Linked DNA regions of Drosophila melanogaster. The protein of the gene in region 2 interacts with the protein of the main gene of each other region in a pairwise test. Each region holds a gene or a part of one and is shown on either strand. Other genes may lie near its edges.

What was found. Proteins that work in one complex are often made in the same cells at the same time.
Region 1: the proteins of Obsc (region 2) and mask interact in a two-hybrid assay, tested with the Drosophila melanogaster proteins (one study listed by BioGRID).

The regions. Positions count from the first base shown.
Region 1 is NT_033777.3:24,228,729-24,232,482, reverse strand, and holds the start of mask (multiple ankyrin repeats single KH domain), read right to left. Parts: upstream 1,922-3,754; 5' UTR 1,835-1,921; intron 1,815-1,834; exon of another isoform or gene 1,525-1,814; intron 1,460-1,524; exon of another isoform or gene 829-1,459; 5' UTR 760-828; coding exon 1-759. Other genes in the region: Spase22-23 (spase 22/23-subunit), read left to right, coding at 2,526-3,065; Acp95EF (accessory gland protein 95EF), read right to left, coding at 3,271-3,411, 3,474-3,491. UniProt on the Drosophila melanogaster protein: Mediator of receptor tyrosine kinase (RTK) signaling, and may act either downstream of MAPK or transduce signaling through a parallel branch of the RTK pathway.
Region 2 is NT_033778.4:24,012,541-24,016,294, forward strand, and holds the start of Obsc (obscurin), read right to left. Parts: upstream 1,715-3,754; 5' UTR 1,322-1,714; coding exon 1,313-1,321; intron 499-1,312; coding exon of another isoform or gene 496-498; coding exon 374-495; intron 316-373; coding exon 184-315; intron 120-183; coding exon 1-119. Other genes in the region: CG4324 (uncharacterized protein), read right to left, coding at 2,433-2,718, 2,781-3,175, 3,228-3,299, 3,362-3,487, 3,546-3,609, 3,670-3,754. UniProt on the Drosophila melanogaster protein: Structural component of the muscle M line which is involved in assembly and organization of sarcomere.

The DNA of each region.
Region 1 (3,754 bases), on a different chromosome or scaffold from region 2:
TCGCTTCAGGGCGGCCACTGCTGCTCTAGTCTTCTTCGAGGACGAGGAGCTGGAGGAGCTACTACTGGGGGCAGGAGCAGTTGCGATTGCTGCTATTGCCGCAGCAGCAGTTGCATTTGCAGGAGCGTTGGTTGCAGGCAGTGCTGGGCTGGGCGCCGAGGCCACGGCGGCACGGAACTTGGCGGCACTTCCAGCTCCGGTGTTGGTTACCGATGCGGGATTGGCAATGACCGTGGTACTCCCACCGCCACCGCCACTGCTGCCACTCCCACCGCCTCCGGTGCTGATGTTCGTTGTTGTTGTGGTGGTTGTGCTGCTGCTGGCCGTGGGCGGTGTGGGCGTGGCCGAGGACTGACTGCTACTAGTTCCAGACATCTTGGCAGTGTTATTGGTGTTGTTGTTGTTGTTAACTTTCAATCGGCTATTGCTGGGTAAAGGTGTGTTGGTTAAAACGCCTGATGACTCCGTCGTCGTCAGTGGCTCATTCTTGGCCGTCAGAATCTTCCGCCCGCTGTTTTTCAATAGAGCGGCGGCTATCGATTGTCTGGCGGCAGCGATTCGGGGTAAATTATGATTCAACTGTCTGTTGGGGTTTTGATTGGTGTTGTTATTGTTATTATTGGATCCAGAGCCAGAGCCTGTGTTATTCTTGCTGGTTGCTGGTGCTTTCGGTTGATTGGTTGTGGTTTGTTGGTTAAAATACGCTGTGGAGCGCACATTCAAGTCATCGCTTTCATGGTTTTTCGCATCATTATTCATTTTACTCTCTCGCTGGAGGTTCTGTGTTGTTGGGGTTATTCTTTTTGATTTACTTTCAATTCGCGCGTCCTTTCGGGTATCAAAAGAAGTAAAGGTATAGAAATTAAAATGTTTAGTTTGGGTAAACAGATGTCACGTCCCAAATAAATTTCACTACAAGTGAATTTAACAACTTTGTTGATGTGTTTTTCAAAGGTGTGTAGGGTCACGGCGGTGACGGCGGCGGCACAGAAACACATCAACAAAAATAGGTTCTTGGGTTATATTGATTTTTGGATATTGTGAAGAATTGGTTTATATATATGCGATGGGCAAAGAAACTAACACACACATTCGCACGCACACACACACACACACACGTAAGCACATGAGCCAGCGAGGTGGCAACTCTGCGCATTCTTTCACTGTGCCTTTGCACACTCGTTCGTACATCGTTCGTTCGCATTTAATTCTCCCATTCCATTCCATTTCCCCTGTCCACTGATTCACATTTTTACACCGAAAATGATTCAGGTGCAAGACGAAACAAAAAAATTGCACTAGATCACTTAATTTCCCCACGTTTCGTATCGCCAATTTCGTTTATTCACGGATACAAGACCAATCGATGCGCAATTAGGACTCGGGGCAACGTGCTTCACTATTTATATAATCGCAGAGGGGAGACGCCGCCGAAACGACCAATCGATTGTTGCACTTCGCAAGTTTACTAACATTCGAGAACTTGGAATTGCAATACTTTATTTATAAAACTTTTCGCAGCAGTTTCGACTTCGCCCGAACGAACGAAGAAAAAATCACTTTTCGACTTTGGCGTATGCGTTTCTCGCTTGGTCGATAGCCTCGTCTCTCTCCCGCACACGCGATGCCCTGACGCGGCCAGTCGGACCGCTGTCACCATCCCGCTCACACGCGCAGACGAAGCCAGAAAATAGCTGAGCGACTGAGGGAAAATTTTTTTGCCACTATTCCGATGTCGATTTTCACCAATTAAGTGACGTTTGCTGGACAAAAAACTAGCACAATTCACGCCCCAACCGATGCCCAACAATTTGGTAATATTTGCGCGTATTACCGTTTAAAATTTTTAGCAAATTAATCAATTTTTCAGCAGTGTTAAATTCTCTGTCTATCGTCAGAGTTTCGGATCGCCATATTATTCCCGGATATTGAAAGAAAAGGTAGGACCATACTGCGGCTCGCGATATAAATTCACATCGATATTTCTCCCTTCACTTTTGTTTCCGGCAGGGTGATATTTTTGAATAGTCTGGCTGTGGTCCCATTAGTTTTGAATTTGTTTACTAACTTCTCTCTTGTTATATATGAGAGAGTTCATAATATGGAGATATTTTTAATCTTCTTTAAGAATCTTGCAAATTAGAAATTGTTTGATTTTGATTTTGCGGTTACATACACGACTTTGCCATGTTTCGGTTTTTAATATAAAACAAATTTTCTCTGCTGCAAGTGTGCCCATGTAGGAAAAATTGTGCAATGCTTAAATTATTAATTATTATTCGAATAGTTTTTGAAATGATGACCTGATATTTACGATTACGACTATAGAAATGATTTAACGCGAAATATTTTGATTTTTAACCATCAAAAGGAAATCGGGTTATTCGCGTTGTTCTTTCGGGCCGAACCGGGAAAGTCATCGATAGTATCGCGTTCATCCGATTATCGTCCCAGCTCTAATTTTTTTCCAAACTAACAACACGACGTGTCATTTGCCGGAATCGCAGGAATAAAACGATATTAAAATGCACACGGTGTTAACCCGAGGAAACGCCACGGTGGCATACACGCTGAGCGTTCTAGCTTGCCTCACCTTCAGCTGCTTCCTGTCCACCGTCTTTCTTGACTACCGTACCGATGCAAACATCAACACGGTCAGAGTGCTGGTGAAGAATGTCCCGGATTACGGAGCGTCCCGGGAGAAGCACGACTTGGGCTTCGTGACCTTCGATCTGCAAACGAATCTCACAGGCATCTTCAACTGGAACGTGAAGCAGCTGTTCCTGTATCTCACCGCCGAGTACCAGACACCGGCCAATCAACTCAACCAGGTGGTACTGTGGGACAAGATTATCCTGCGCGGCGACAATGCCGTATTGGACTTCAAGAACATGAACACCAAGTACTACTTCTGGGACGACGGGAATGGCCTGAAGGACAACCGCAACGTATCGCTATACCTCTCGTGGAACATCATTCCGAACGCGGGACTCCTTCCCTCCGTTCAGGCCACTGGAAAGCACCTGTTCAAGTTCCCGGCCGACTATGCCACCTCGTCCATTTAGAGCTTAGGGCTAATGCTAAATACAGCTGGTTCCGCCCGGGTTCCCTAGCTTGTAGTGTCTATCTAATAAAACCCCAAATAAAATATCTTTGTAAAGATTTCGAACTGTATCCCAAACGAAAGAAACTTAAGAGAAATTCGTTGAAAATAATTTATTTTTGGTCCATTTTTATAATGACAATTTTATCTATAGCTTTCTATAGTAATTAACCAGCGAGTGACTGCAGAGCGCCAGCACTTAGTTTTCGGTCTTTCGTCTCAAATCTGGGTTTGGCAGTCGAACTAGGGTTCAACACTGCAGCTGAGGTGTTAAGGGATAGAGCTACAACCAAAATAGCAATAAAGAACTGTGCGAAAATTTTAAAAAATATTAGATTTTGGAACGCAGATATGATTAGTACCAACACACCAATTTTACTGAGGCCATGTTGATATCCGCTAAAGAAATCGAAAACTATACTAAAAATGTGTAAAAGATCTCCAATATATATATGACTGGTATTCAAGGCCGCATCGAATGGGTTCGTTTCAAAATTTAAAACTGAATCAAATTCGTTAACATTTTTTACAAGGCTTACGCAATGAAAAAGACTAATTGACCTTTGAAAATGTAATCCTTAAGACGAAGATGATGAACCCAACATATGAAAATACTTATTCGATCAATTCACAACTAATACGAAAAGGAAA
Region 2 (3,754 bases):
TGTCCCGCACGGAGCGCGGCACCACCGGCTTGTCGATGCCCTTGATGTACTTCTCCACCACGTGGAGCAGATCCCTGGAGAACTCCTCCTCAGTTTCCACCAGCTCCCTGAGAATGGTTCTACAACGGCCATTACAACTAGTATCTATCTGTCCAACTGGATGGAGTGAGTTGAAGTCCTTACAGTTTCCTAAACTCCGCATCGCCGCTCTCCTTGCCATTCGAACTGCTCATGGTGGGATTGAACTCTAGTATATCGATGGGCACCCAGCCTTCCTTGGGGGAGTCCCCGCTATCGAACATTCGCACAAAGCATCTGGAAAACTCACTGCACTAGAGTACCATACCACTTCTCGATGAACTCAATCGCTCACCTTGACTTTTCGGATGCCTTCGAACTTATCAGTTCGACCAGATCCCCGCGAGAAACGCTGATCTCGTCCGTGGCCAGCGACTGAGCCTGGTAGTCCCGACTCACAAACACGATATCCGCCACCTGCTGGGTAGAACCGATATCTTAAGTACGAACTTTCTTTTCTATAGCTACTCTCTTGGTTCACACACACATTTCTATCACCCATTTCGATACTTCAACACAAAAATATATGTACATATATCCCAAATAGATCGTTATAGATCTGTGAGTTTTTTTAGGGTTTATGCAATTGGTGCGATATCGATTTGATCTTTTGACGCGTTCGACTTCGCTATTTCACAAACAAAAGTGGCTGAGCAATATTTAGCCCGCTAGCTGAAAGTCTATTTTGCGTTGACATAGACACGCGGGCTCGGCTATTTATTCCGATGTCCAATTTTACTGAGTGCAAAGCTTGTGCAGCCGAATCAGCTGATCCCCCGATTTGTTCCCTCGAACAGGGCTCTTCACTTCGGGCCAATGATCCGAGACCACAGTGGAACCACAGTGGAACCACAAGATGGATCCTAACCCACTTCGCGTCAGAGGTGGCTTTCACTTTCGAGAGGAAAATATCTGTGCACCGAGTATAAGATACTATTAGGGTCCTTCGGTTTTAAGGTCACTAGTATCATCATCTTGAAGCACTCAAACTAAACTAAATAAAATTGCACTTTTATTCGTCACTAGCTGGTTAACCAGTTTACATTCACATTTTGCAGTTGGAAAAAACCATTGACTAAGTGCTATTTCCTAGCAAGGACGTCCACTGTAGCTTTTGCTCACACAATGTATGTACATATGTACATCTGGTTTGCCCAGAAGTATTAATAAGTAAATTTGGCACATGTTCATAGAGACCGATCTATAGTGTATTTTCCGGACACGCATAACTTACGGCATCCATTCCGGCTGATTTGAATATTAAGACTTTGTATCACTCGATTAACTCGACTTCACACACTTGATTAACTCACGCACATTGGCACGAATTCGAAAATGTATTGCATAACTTATTACTGGGGCGATTTCGTTTCGAATTTTCAATGCACTGGATTTGCACTGGATTTAAGGCATTATCGGCATTAGCCCAGTATCGAAAACTACGAAGACTAGTCTACGGGGCACTCTCGAGTTCGCTTGTCATAACTGAAAAAGTCGAGGAATTTTCCGCCTTTCCGCGGGCCAGGCCGATTCAAAAGTGGAATAGATTTAAATTTAAACTGCGGTCGCGTGAGAAATATTGGCTACTGCGTGCGGATACCAATGATTCTAACTGCATCCCGACAACTGTACGACTGATCGATATTCGCCGATCACAACAAAAGCTCCCCTCGAACATCGTTTCACAATTTAAAAATAATGCCCATGCCCATGCACCTCGCACTCGCCATCCGCATCCCCATCAGTATCTGCAAATGCATTTGCATTTGCATCTGCATTTGCATCTGCATCTGCATCTGCATGTGCATAGCCATGTGCTTAGATGCCGAACAGAGCGGACGGTCTGAAAGTTTATGGCTGTCAGAGGAGTGCATATAGATTTCGGCACCCAGAGTGCGCCAGCATACATATTTAATTAAGTATTATAATATATGCGCGGGCACGAAGTTATTTATACGATCCCATACGTTATTCGCAATGTTTATGGTCAGAAATATTGGCTTGTTTAATTAATTTGCAACTGCACTTCCTCCTGTCACCTGTCAGCAATGTAATCATAAATAAGAGGAAATTGGCCTACAAAGTTGAGATTAGTCACCAATTAGACCAACACAAACGGGTAGTTAGTAGTAACACCTCCTTCAACTGAGTATTTATGCCAATGCTAGACTAGAGCTTTCCCTTTAGGAGCTTTGTTACTTGTTAGAAGCATCTTAATCTATTCTAGACTTTTTAGATTACTACTAGCCCGCTAAGCCTAAAACTAGGCAATCCGAATGAAACATTCACACAGCTTCTAGGGACTAATGGGTTTAATAGTAGTTATAGATAATAAGTTATGGTAATCAGTGCACTCAGTGGTAGCCAACAGTTTCCCTGGGCAGAAAGACGCAGGCTATGGAGGCCAGCAGGCCCACGATTGCGTACGTGGACATGGCCTGAATTCTGGACGAGTCCATCAGCACCTGCGCCACGAAAGGGGTCAGCATGGCGCCGAGTCTGGCCAGCACGGAACAGCCCGAAACTCCGACGGATCTCAAGGCAGCTGGGTATATTTCCGGAGTGTACACATAAATGGCCTGGAAGATGCCGGATATCGTGCCGCGTGCAATGAAGAGGGTTACGGAAGTGGAGAAGCGACTAGGATTGGAGGAGGATTGGATTGATTATCAGATGATCAATTGAGTGTGCACCACTACTACCTTTCCACCGACATCAGCACCAGAGTGCACAGAACCAGCGCCAGGTACTGCAGAACAATGGTTTTCTTCTTGCCAAACAGCTTGACCACCTTGATGGTCAGCAGTATTCCAGGAAACTCGGACAGGGTGATCCACAGCAGGTCCATAAAGTCGGAGGTCATGAAGGTGACGCACTCATTGGGATGGCTCTCCTTGTTCCTGGCCACCAGCAGCTCGGTCGTGACCAGCACCAGGCCGTAGTAGCAAAAGGCCGAGGCCAGCCAGAGGAACCACAACAGGATGGTGGTCCTGTACAGGCTCGGGCTGAGCAGGGATCTAAAGCTCTCCGCGCAACTGGGCTCGTCGTCGGCCATCAGCCGACCCATCAGCATGTGGCGCTTGTTGTTGTGAGCTATCTACAATCGTAGGTTTTTAGACGTATAATCACTCCATAAAGTTACCACTCACCTGTTCCAGAACCTTGATGGCCTTATCATTGTGACCGTTGTAAGAGTAATAGCGAGCCGATTCACTGAGCCACTGTAGTGATTTAAAGATACATTTGATTAAGGATATTTCTGAAGAGAGCGAGGAATACGAACCGGCGATAGGATGGTAAAAATGAGTAGGGGTGTAGCCGAAAGGGCCAAGAGACCTCGCCATCCGTAATAGGGATACACAACCAGTGCTAGGACCACTTCAAAGCAAGCTCCCAAGGCCCAGAAGCACTGAAACCAGTACAATATATTCAATAAATACGTTTAGCACACGGTGGCACGTACTCACGTCCATCAATACGACGCACTTTCCCTTGTGCTTGGTGGGCAGAAACTCAGCGTACAAGGTAACTCTTTTGGGTTAAAGAAAGTTTTAGGTGGAGAGGTACCTCCTAGTCCATGGAATTACTCACGACTGTGGAACGCAGCCGATGGCGAAGCCTACGAGACCTCTTAGGGTCAGGAGCCAGGCGTAACTGGGAGCCACCGAGCTGAGAA